3 linked regions of the Callithrix jacchus genome follow. The protein of the gene in region 3 purifies or fractionates together with the protein of the main gene of each other region. This does not show direct contact. Links are inferred from orthologs where the notes say so. Each region holds a gene or a part of one and is shown on either strand. Other genes may lie near its edges.

Region 1 (3,581 bases), about 47 Mb from region 3:
CAGCGTTTTGTGATCAGTGCTGGAAACCTACCCACAAGCCCTAGAAGCTGGGTTGGTTGCTCTGATTTATGTTTTCTTGTCGGCCAGGTGCAGTGGCTCATACCTGCATTCCCAATACTTTGCGGGGACAAAGTGGGAGGATTACTTGAACCCAGTAGGTAGAGACCTTGGTGACTTAACGATGGCACCACTGCACTCCAGCCTGAGTGACAAAATGACACCCTGTCTCAAAAGAAAAAAAGAGCTAGATGCTTTGTGTGTGTATTGAAATAGATAATACATTTACATAGTTAAATTCAAACTGTACCAAAGAATGCACAGTAAGAAGTCTGCCTCCCCAGCCAGAAGCCCTTCTGGTTCTTGTATGGTTCCAATGTATTGCTTAATACCCAGGCAAATATTCATGTTGCTTTCTCCCTTTCCCCTAACAAGAGGCAACATGCTCTACCTGTGATTTGGCAGGCTGTGCTTTTTTCTCACAATAATATCTGGAAGCACCAGGCACGGTGGCTCACGCCTGTAATCCCAGCACTTTGGGAGGCTGAGGTTAGGAGTTTGAGACTAGCCTGACCAATATAGTGAAACCCCGTCTTGAAAAAATAAAAATAAAAAATATATATATCTGGAAGCTTATTTACATCAGTATTTAAAGAGCTTTCACATTCTTAGGCTTAAGTAGTATTCCATTGTATGGATATGGCATATCTTATTTAATCAGTGCCCTTTTAGTCTTCCAGTGTTTTTTTTTTTTTTTTTTGAAGATGGAGTTTTGTTCTTGTTACCCAGGCTGGAGTGCAATGGCGCGATCTCGGCTCACTGCAATCTCCGCCTCCTGGGTTCAGGCAATTCTCCTGCCTCAGCCTCCCGATTAACTGGGATTACAGGCACACGCCACCATGCCCAGCTAATTTTTTATATTTTAGTAGAGATGGGGTTTCACCATGTTGACCAGATAGATGGTCTTGATCTCTTGACCTCTTGATCCACCCGCCTCAGCCTCCCAAAGTGCTGGGATTACAGGCTTGAGCCACCGCGCCCGGCCCTTTTTTTTTTTTTTTCTAAGACAGAGTTTTGCTCCGTCACCCAGGTGGAAGTGCAGTGACGCGATCTCAGCTCACTACAGATTCTGCCTCCTGAGTTCAAGCAATTCTCTGCCACAGCCTCGTGAGTAACTGGGATTACAGGCACGCCACCACACCCAGTGAATTTTGTATTTTTAGTAGAGAAGAGGTTTCACTATGTAGATAAGGCTGGTCTCGAACTCCTGACTTTAGTGATCTGCCTGGCCCTGCCTCCCAAAGTAGTGGGACTACAGGTGTGAACCGCCATGCCTGGGCAGTCTTTTTGTTTGTTTGAAACACAGTCTCCCTCTCTCGCCAGGCTGGAGTGCAGTGGTGGGATCCCAGCTCACGGCAACTTCCGTTTTCCGGTTTCAGGCAATTCTCCTGCCTCAGCCTCCCGAGTAGCTGGGACTACAGGCACACACCACAACACCTGTCTAATTTTTTTTGTATTTTTAGTAGACGCATATTTCACCATGTTGGCCAGGATGGTCTCGACCTTTTGACCTTGTGATCCGCCCACCCTGGCCTCGCAAAGTGCTGGGATTACAGGCGTAAACCATTGCACCCAGCCACCCAGACAGTCTTAAAGAGGGTTCTAAACAAGCACTGTACAGTAGAAACACAGTATTAACCACACATAATTGAAAATTTTCTGGTAACCACGTTAAAAAGGTGAAAAACAGATGGAATTAAGTTTTAGTTGCATTTATATATTTTTCAGACCATCTTCAAAATCCAATATATATTTTTCACTAAAAACACATGAGTTTGAACTAGCCACTTACAGTAGTGGCTACCACATGGGACAGTGCTGTTCTAAACAGCACTGTAGTGAATGACCTTGTGAGTTCATAATTTGTACATATACAAGTGTTTTGTGTTTTTTTGAGACAGTGTCTCTCACCCTGTCACCCAGGCTGGAGTGCAGTGGTACACTCAGCTCACTGCAACCTCTGCCTCCCTGGCTCAAGTGATCCTCTTGCCTCAGCCTCCCAAGTAGCTGGGACTACAGGTGCACACCACCATGCCCAGCTAATTTTTATAATTTTTGTCAAGATGAGGTTTCACCATGTTGTCCAGGCTGGTCTCAAACTTCTGTGCTCAAGTAGTCTGTCCACCTCACCCTCCCCAAGTGCTGGGATTACAGGTGCAAGCCACCACGCCTGGCTTATACAGGTATATCTTTAGGGCAGATGCAGGAGAATTGGTGTGTCTGTAATTCTGCTAGAAATTAAGTGTGTTATTTTTTCACTTGGGAAGTGAGGCTCTTTGCTGTTCCTCTTCCTTCCAGGCCAAGGCAGAGGCTTCCTCAGGAGACCGTCCCACTGACACAGACATGAAGGAGGAGCAGAAGAGCAACATGGCAGGGAGCCAGTCTCAGGTGGAGACAGAAGCATAGCCCTCCTCCACCAGCTCTACTCCTGCGGCTGCCTGCCTCCCACAACCCCAGTCTCCCCACTCCACCCTGTTAGTTTTGTAAAAACTGAAGAATTTTGAGTGAATTAGACCTTTATTTTTCTATCTGGTTGGATGGTGGCTTTAGCGGGGAGGGGGGAAAGAAGAGTCTGGGGGATTGAGGTGGGGAATCATTTCAGGAGGTGTCACCCCCTCTTCCCTTCCCCCATTGCACATGAATGTATGTCCATCCATACATATTCATCAGAATGTTAATTTATTTTGCTCCCTCTGTTAGGTCCATTTTCCAAGGGTAGAAGAAGCAAGTGGTAGGGATGGGGTCTGATATGAACCCAGGGTGGAAAGGGAGACTCCTGGGCAGCCGTTTTCCTCATCCTTTCCCTCTCCCAGTCCATTTCCAAATGTGGCCTCCATGTGGGTGCTAGGGACATGGGAAAAACCACTGCTGTGCCCATTTCTTCTCTCTGTTCCCTTCCTCACCCTGACGGTGTGGCTGATGTCTTCTGGTGTCATGGTGACCACCCCCGTCCCCCATTCTGGTGTTTCCCCTTGTCAATCACCCCTCTCAGCCAGGTTGTATCCTGAAATCCCCTCAGCCTCTTCTCTGCACGTTGCTGAAGGTCCAGGCTTGCCTCAAGTTCCGTGCTTGAGCAATAAAGTGGAAACAATAAAACCTGGGTGTCAGGCAACCCTTTCTGTTCAGCCTTGGAGGGGTGGGTACATAATGGGTAGTGGCAAAATTAAGGGGTCACCCACTTGATCCCAGTTCAGCTTAAATAAATGCAGTATCTCATATAATGATGCCATAGTGGGCAGGAAGCAGACCTACCATGCAGGGCTTCCCGAGCACCGCACAGGCTGCAGACCTACGACGCAGGGCTTCCCGAGCACCGCACAGGCTGCAGTGAGACTTAGGCCTACACCCTCACCCTAGGTTCCCAGCACTCCCCTCCAGCAACCTGGTAGTTTTTAGTGCGTCTGGTTTTCCCTGCCACTTAGGAAGAGGAAAGTCTAAACATCTAGAAGACTGGGTCACATGCATGTTCGTTTTGAAGTTAGCATTGGTCTTCTGCCTACCTCTGATGTGGCAGAAGTATCTGT
Region 2 (3,581 bases), on a different chromosome or scaffold from region 3:
CACTGAAGAAGGTGTGTATTGACACCTTTAAAACTGAAATGAACTATGGAACATCTCTGTTCTCAATATCTTAAAGACCAAAAGATTAAGAGTGAGGTGCTCCCAGGCACAGTGGTTCACGCCTCTAATCTCAGCACTTTGGCAGGCCAAGGCGGGTGGATCACGAAGTCAGGAGTTCAAGACCAGCCTGACCAACATGGTGAAACCCTGTCTCTACTAAGTAAAGTACAAAGATTAGCTGGGCATGATGGCATGCACCTGTAATCCCAGCTACTCAGGAGGCTGAGACAGGAGAATCGCTTGAACCCAGGAGGCAGAGGTTGCAGTGAGCCGAGCAATGAACCGAGATCACACCACTGCACTCCAACCTGGGCTCTCCATAAAAAAAAAAAAAAAAAATGAAGTACTTTGAGGATTCACACCTTTCAGTGGTTGCCAGGAGAATTGTGATACCTGGAATATGAGTTGTTTCAGGGTCTTTGCCTTCATACATTTCCCCCGCCTTCATTCATTTCCCCCGCCTTCATTAAAAAGATACCAGGTCTGTCTTGAACTATTTAATAGTTCTGCAAGGTGGTTTTAGAAATGTGCTTTTATTTTAAAACAACTACTCGTTCGATGCATTTGTTTATCAGGTTTTCTAGAGCCGGATTCCTTGGGCATCACCTTCCAGGAAGCCAGGTGGGCCTTGGTGTAGAGCAGAGGTGGCTCTCCCCAAGGTCAGGACCAGGAAGGTGCTACATGTTTGTCCCAGGCACCAGGCCAACCACACACTTTGCTTAGGCCTTTAGCAACCGGAGGTGGGGGAGTGCACTTGGCCATGGCCAGCCTGGGGCAGCTCAACCTCATCAGGCTTCGAAACCCCTTTCCCTTTCTGTATTCTCGGAGCAAGCAGGAGAGGGGGCTGTGTCTCTGAAGGGTCAGGGAGGTGACATTGGCCACCAGAGCAATGACACACATGGCTGTGAGTGCCCATAGGAGCATGAGCCCCAGTTTCTGGGCAGTTTTAATTGGGGGAAAAAAATCCCTTTGGGCTGAAATCATATCGGCATTGTGATTTCAAAGGCGGCATTTTCAGAGATCAAGCACTTTTTCCCTGTAGTTTAGAAATTTCTGTTCTCAGAACTTTGACCTTGATATAATCAGAAAGCTCAAAGCACCTCGCATAGCGAATCTCTCTCTCCTTCTCGCTGTCCCTGAAAAGCAGACAGTGAGCAGCAGGAGCAGTAATGTCCCAATTTTCCAGATGAGGAAATTGAGGTGCAGAGAAACTCAGATGGGTGTCTCCAGGTCTCTCGGGGGATCACACACCCTTCCCTCCTTAGGAAGCTGGCATTTCTCAACATCTGAAAAAAACATATGAGAAATAATCCACTAATACAAAAAGCTGCTTGAAAACGACAATGCCTCAGTCTTTGACAGTGTGTAGTGGAGTAGCAATTAGCTGTGGGTATTGGGTTCGGAGCGCCGCATTCTATTAGGAAGGAATATTTGTGGCATTTGTTGTTTTTGTTGTTGTGTGTTTTTTGGTTTTGGCTTAGATACTACATGAATTGTGAATTTCAGTTTTTAATATGGTGAAAGTCTTAGATGGTAGATAGGATTATCAATGCATGCAGAACAACTTCTTAGAATAGGATAGCCAACTAGCAGATTTTTTAACAATGTCTTGTAAAGATTCAGTTCCTTTGACTTAGCAAGTAAGTAGTCAAAGACTAAACAGCCTCCCCGTCTCATTTTAAAAACTGGGTTTTCTCTTCCGATTGACAGTGTTGCATTGATGAATCATAGCTGTTGCCCCAATGTCATTGTGACTTACAAAGGGACCCTGGCAGAAGTCAGAGCTGTACAGGAAATCAGCCCAGGAGAGGAGGTGAGTTCATGGCCATGGGTGGCCGCAGCAGGGGGCTGGAGACTGCTCTTTTAAAAGGCAATATGGACAGATCCATGCATTTGAAGTATGAGCTGTGAATGCTTCCAGCAGTTCAGCCAAGTCCGTCCTCAGGCTCCCCCTGAGTCAGTGATCAGATTTGTGACCTGTAGCTTAGATTCCCACACTTTGGGGCTTCTGTTTCGTGTTTACCTTTTACATCAGTGGTTAAGAAAAACAAAAAATAATCAATTTGAGTTAAATTCCTCACAAAGCTTTATGGAGAGTTACAGAGAAAGAAGACTTTGACTATCAAAATGACCACAGTGAAACTTGATTTTCTTTAGAGTCTCTCTAACCCTGTTGCCAAACAATGGAGTTTGAGCCTTATTAATTTTTGGTGAATTCTTGCTTGTTGCCCACCATCCCCCCAAGGTCCGAAGTGAAAGAAAGCAAGTGACACAGCAGTAGCTAAAGAACTGGCCCTGCAAGTGACACAGCAGCATTTTGTGCTCTGTCAGTTCCACATGTGAACTTCAGGTCGTAGTTCCCTTTTTAGGAACGTGATTCAAATGCCCAGGTATATATGCAGTCATGTGCTCTGTCAGTTCCACATGTGAACTTCGGGTCGTAGTTCCCTTTTTAGGAACGTGATTCAAATGCCCAGGTATACATGCAGTCATAGGAGAAATCAAGGCAGTCTGTGAGGCACACTGGCTTCCCTCCTCAGCTTTGGGATGTGGAGAGAACCAGCCAGCTGTCCCGTCACCTGCTCAACGATTCCCTGTCCCCCTCCCATGTGTGATTCCTGACTACCTCATGGGACATCTCACCTGGGGGAGGAGGGCTGGCCTGCTGGATCGCTGTAGTATGCTCTGTTCTTAAGTCAGTCTCCAGCAAGACAGGATTTCTTGGGCACTTGTAATCACACACTTAGGTTAAATTTCAGTTTAGCAATTTGTAATGCTATTTTACGGTGCACATCTGGTATAAGTGTGAAGTGTGACTGTCAGTGTGCTGAGTGAGAAGTGCTTTGCTTTCTCTGGAAGGCGCTCACTCATCCACAGGGGTACTGGGAGCTGAGGCCCAAGGCGCAGGTTGGCCCTTCCACCCTCAGCTAAATCCATTGTCATGAGGGTGTGTCCCTTTCGGCTGGGGTGTCTTGAGTTTCTGAATGTCTTGTGGAGACTGCCCTGAAGGCTTTCTTGAAACAGATCGTTGCAACCAGCCAGAACGTAATCACCCGGCTCCAGCCCGCCTGTGGACTGACTGCAGAGATGAGCAGGTTGTCACCTAGGCTGGCTCAGTCTGACCGTGAGCAGTGGTACTGGAGTGGCCTTTGTCGCCATCTTCTGGAACCTTCCGTGTGTTGCACTGCGTGTCAGTTATTTCAGAGATAATGGGGCACTCTTGCCGTGTGAGGCAGGGCAGGGCTGGCTGCGGTTTCCTTTTGCCCTCATGTTCTCCCAGATCTCAAACACAGTGACTTCATTTTTGTGAAGTCAGTGCTTTGGGGGTTACTTACCCTTAAGAGGAGAAACTCCATTCTCCAGGGTTTCAGGGAGACCTGCAACATGTCCAGAACTGCCCTGTGGGCTGGGGAGAGCTTGGCTGCCCCTGCGGCACCCAGCCCCATGCGTGTCCTCCCCTGCCTGCTTGGCGGTGCCCGCGGTCACTGGCACGCTGGCAGCTTTGTGAGATCCATCTGTTC
Region 3 (4,091 bases):
CAAGATAGGTCGGAACTTAAGAGCTTTTTTAAACTACAAGACAAACTTTCATAACTTAGGATGTAAAGAAATGTAACTAGGAAATCGCTAAAGAGCAAATGAGTAAATCAACTGAGAAAACACTCTCCCAAGCCCTTAATGCACCCAGCATAATCTCTCTCCAGATCTTTAAAGAAAAAAAAAAGGTTTTATTAGCCAGGCATGGTGGTGCTTGCCTGCAGTCCTAGCTACTCAGGAGACTGAGGCAAGGAGGATTGCTTGAGCTCGGGAGGTGAAGTGGAGGTTGCTGTGAGCTGAGATCACGCCACTGCACTCTAGGCTGGGCGATAGAGAAAGACCCTGACTCAAAATAAATAAATAAATAAATAAACCCGCATCAGCCAGATTCTTCCTAGGACTGGATGACGACCCAGTAAAGGATTCTTCCACCTCAAACAACCGACTTACAACATTCATTTTGTAATTTCACTTAAATCTTTAACTTGGTAAGAGTCCCTGAAGAATATACCAAATGACACATACTGAATATTTTTAAAAGGATGAAATTAGCTGGTCTCTTTCAAAACATTCATCTTTTCCCTCAACACCCTGCATGTGGCATCGGATCACTTGTTTTGAAAGTAGCTTTTTTTTTTTTTTTTTAACCAGAGAGGCTACTTTTTGGAATAGCCTCTCTACTGCTACATTTTGAGACGGAGTCTCCCTCTATCGTCCAGGATGGAGTGCAATGGCTCAATAATCTTGGCTCACTGCAACCTCCACCTCCAGAGTTAAGGCGATTCTCCTGCCTGAGCCGCCAGACCAGCCGGGATTACAGGTGAGCACCACCATGCCCGACTAGTTTTTGTATTTTTAGTAGAGACGGGGTTTCACAGTATTGACGAGGCTGGTCTCGAACTCCTGATCCCACCGCCTGACCCTCCCAAAGTGCAGGACAGGTGTGAGCCACTGCACCCTGACTTACATTGACTTTTCTTTCAAGTTTTAAAATCTACTTAACTTAGCCATTTCTTACCTATTTAAATATCTTACGTGGCCTCCAGAAAGTGCTCCTACCTCAAGCCAATTTTAAACGTATTTTTCGCGAAAAGATACGTTCAGCTGTATTAAAAGTTGCTAACACCTCATCTGACAATTTTCCCCTTACAGGTTTTCAGAGTATAAAAGGTTAAGACTGAAGTCCCTTTTACATTACCTAGAAGGAAAAGCAAAAACTACTTTACATAGATTCGAATTTGTAAAAACCCCGTTTACGTACCACTTTCAGGGAGGGGGCTCCTCCAAAATTCTAATTTACGCCCTTACAGTAATACACGCTGTGCTCTAGAAGCTTGTTCTCAGCGACAAACTGGCTTCAGTGTACCCCTCACTCATCCCTTTAGACTTTTAGCCAATATATTCACTGTCAGTATCATGGCTTGAATTAAGTAAACCCTTGAATGTTTGTTACTTTTCCGCAGGAATAAAGTTACTCCCCTCATCTCTCCTAAATGGAGTGTGGGCGGGGGAACGCTCCCCTTCAATTGTTCTCAGTATCTTTTAAGACTTAGCTAATAACTTAAAAAATAACGTCCCGTCAAAAAAAAAAAACAAAACCAAACCCTGTAAAACCAGGAGCCCTCACTGGATGTGGCAGTGCCATGAATTCTTATTCGGTTAAAATCAATTAAGGCTTTCCTTTACCATAAAACGAAGATTGCTATAGAACTTGTATTCACCTACACACCATCAAATTTAAGCTTTTTAGGACAACAGTAAGTTAATTACATATCTACTTCATCCTACACTGAGGCAGGATAGTGAAACCTCACCTAAAGTTTAACATGGAACACTGAAAATGTCCGTAGGTATTCTTCCAAAGTCGACACGTGCCCAACTACCTGCTCAACGGTAACTCCTCACTGCCAGGGAAGCGGCTGAGCTCCGGCAACCTCCCGTGTTTTGAACAGACTGGGAGTTAGGAGGCGGCCTAGAAGTACCCACACTCAAGAAACCCAGACACAGGAGAGGGAAGTAAGTTGCGGCGTGGGCATGGCTTCCCTCCAGTTACCTAGCAGTACCATGCAGCTCACGGCGAGGTCCGCGTGGGGCTCTCCCAGGAGCTCCGCCAGGTACCTGGCGACACCCACTACAGGTGCGCTCGGCCCAGGGCCTGGCCCCGGGACCACGGAGCAGAACTGGAGCGCCCAGGCGGCCGAGAAGCGACCCGCGGGGGTTCACGCTTCAGGGCGCCGCATGGCGAGCAGCTACCAGGAGCTCAAGGCCTAGGGTGAAGTTACAGAAAGCGAGTCGGCCAGACGGCCAAAGGGGGAAAAGTAGCATTTCCGGCACGGGGAAGCGGAGATCTGGAGGAAAATGTCCTCCACTCGCCAACGGTAACCGGAACAAGGATACTAGATCTCCCGCCCCCAGGCAGGCACAACTGCCACCACCGATGCGAGAAAGACTGGGGGGGCCGAAAGTGGAGGGAGGGCCGCGGCCGCATTCCCGGAGCCCCCGACGCGGCCTTGGCCTCACTCCGGGCGACCTTCCCTCGGCGGGGTGTCGCACTCACATTGTGAACGGGGCAGGGGGACGGGCGAACGGGTGGGCGGGCCTCTCTGGCGGCGGCTGCTGCTAAGGAGTCGACTTCTCTCCGCTGGCGACTCCGCGTTTTCTCCCCGGTCGCGGCCTCTTCTCGCTTCCCTCAGGCGACGGCGACAGCGGCGGGCTCGACCTAGCTCCCCAGAATGCACCGCGCGGAAAGAGCGGCTCCTCCGGTCGGGGAGAAGAGGAAAGTGTAGGAAAACGGGCGCGAGGACGGAGAATGAACGTGCGTGCGTGCGAACGAGGGGTGGTGAGGCCGGGCGGCGGCTGGTGACGCAGCAAAATGCCCGGGCCTTGCCACCGCGCGTGCGCAGTCCTTGTTTTCGGGCTCCGGCGCGGCTTTCTAGAGATATCTACGGAAAGGGCGGGGCCTCCCAGCTCCTTCGCGATCCTTCCTGGCGCCGGCCCCGCCCTTCGTCCGCCACCCTACCCCCACCCCGGCCCCCGCTAGTCCTTACGCGTTCCCGCCTCTCCTCCCGCGGTGTCCTCTCGCGTTAGAAAACCGTTGGCCGCCCAACCGCCCGGCCACGCTCTTTGGGCGATTTCTCTGAGAAACCGCTGCGTTGGCAGCGGGAGGAAAGGCCGAGGCGGAGGGACGCGGAGTCGGGATCGTGGAGAATTGAAATGGAGCGTTGGTTACTCTTGAGGGAGTAAATCAGCTCACGCAGGAAACATTCCACCACAAAAACGTGAAAAGCCTGTGCTGTGGAAAAGGGCTCACTTCACCATTTTTCTGAAGGTTGGAGGCTCTGTCCAGGGACAGCGGACATTCGAGGTTCTTGGCGGAGGAGGAGCGTTTGCCATTCGGGGCTGGCTTTTGCCCCTGTCTTGAGACCTTAGTACTGTAGATGAGCCACGAAGGATATTTGAGGGGAGAGTCTAGGTTTCTGGAATGGAGAGGCTAAGACACTTTGTGTCTCCATGCACATTATTTGGGGAAGAAGGGATTCCCCGTCGCTTCCTACAACACACTACTAGGGTGTAGTAGGGCATAGTAACCGAGAGACCCAACACAGCCCTGCTCACCAAGAGGCTACTTAATGGTGGAGTAGGGGAGAAATACTCCAGTGCACTGCATTTTGAACAGGAAGGAGGTTTAAGGAAAGTGCTATATTTCTGAAGAATGAGGTTTCATAATAAGCATTAAGGTGCTTAGTGTCTGCTGTACAAGGCAGATTATTGGGGAGCTACGAAACGTGGATCCTAGCTCAGATACCGTTAAAGAGGGAAATTGGGCTGGTGCAGTGGCTCACGCCTATAATCCCAGCACTTTGCGAAGCCAAGGAGGGTGGTTCCCTAGGTCACGAGTTCGAGACCAGCCTGACCAACATAGTGAAACCCCATCTCTACAAAAATACTAATTAGCCAGGCATGGTGGCATGCGCTTGTAATGCCAAAAACTAGGGAGTATGAGGTGGGAGGATAGCTCGAACCCGGGAGGCGGAGGCTGCAGTGAGCACAGATCATGCCATTGTACTCCAACCTGGGCGACAGAGTGAAAGCCT

The links. Proteins that work in one complex are often made in the same cells at the same time.
Region 1: the proteins of PTGES3 (region 3) and FKBP4 purify together in Homo sapiens (affinity purification with mass spectrometry; 3 studies listed by BioGRID and IntAct, with this or other methods). This does not show direct contact. The link is inferred for Callithrix jacchus from reciprocal best matches to the Homo sapiens genes PTGES3 and FKBP4.
Region 2: the proteins of PTGES3 (region 3) and SMYD2 purify together in Homo sapiens (affinity purification with mass spectrometry; 3 studies listed by BioGRID and IntAct, with this or other methods). This does not show direct contact. The link is inferred for Callithrix jacchus from reciprocal best matches to the Homo sapiens genes PTGES3 and SMYD2.

What each region holds. Positions count from the first base shown.
Region 1 is NC_133510.1:16,117,028-16,120,608, forward strand, and holds the end of FKBP4 (peptidyl-prolyl cis-trans isomerase FKBP4), read left to right. Parts: intron 1-2,355; coding exon 2,356-2,463; 3' UTR 2,464-3,153; downstream 3,154-3,581. UniProt on the Homo sapiens protein: Immunophilin protein with PPIase and co-chaperone activities. Component of steroid receptors heterocomplexes through interaction with heat-shock protein 90 (HSP90).
Region 2 is NC_133520.1:14,837,014-14,840,594, reverse strand, and holds part of SMYD2 (N-lysine methyltransferase SMYD2), read left to right. Parts: intron 1-1,554; exon of another isoform or gene 1,555-1,770; coding exon 1,771-1,873; exon of another isoform or gene 1,874-3,581. UniProt on the Homo sapiens protein: Protein-lysine N-methyltransferase that methylates both histones and non-histone proteins, including p53/TP53 and RB1. Specifically trimethylates histone H3 'Lys-4' (H3K4me3) in vivo. The activity requires interaction with HSP90alpha.
Region 3 is NC_133510.1:62,968,886-62,972,976, reverse strand, and holds the start of PTGES3 (prostaglandin E synthase 3), read right to left. Parts: upstream 2,852-4,091; 5' UTR 2,557-2,851; coding exon of another isoform or gene 2,555-2,556; 5' UTR 1,826-2,554; coding exon 1,812-1,825; intron 1-1,811. UniProt on the Homo sapiens protein: Cytosolic prostaglandin synthase that catalyzes the oxidoreduction of prostaglandin endoperoxide H2 (PGH2) to prostaglandin E2 (PGE2).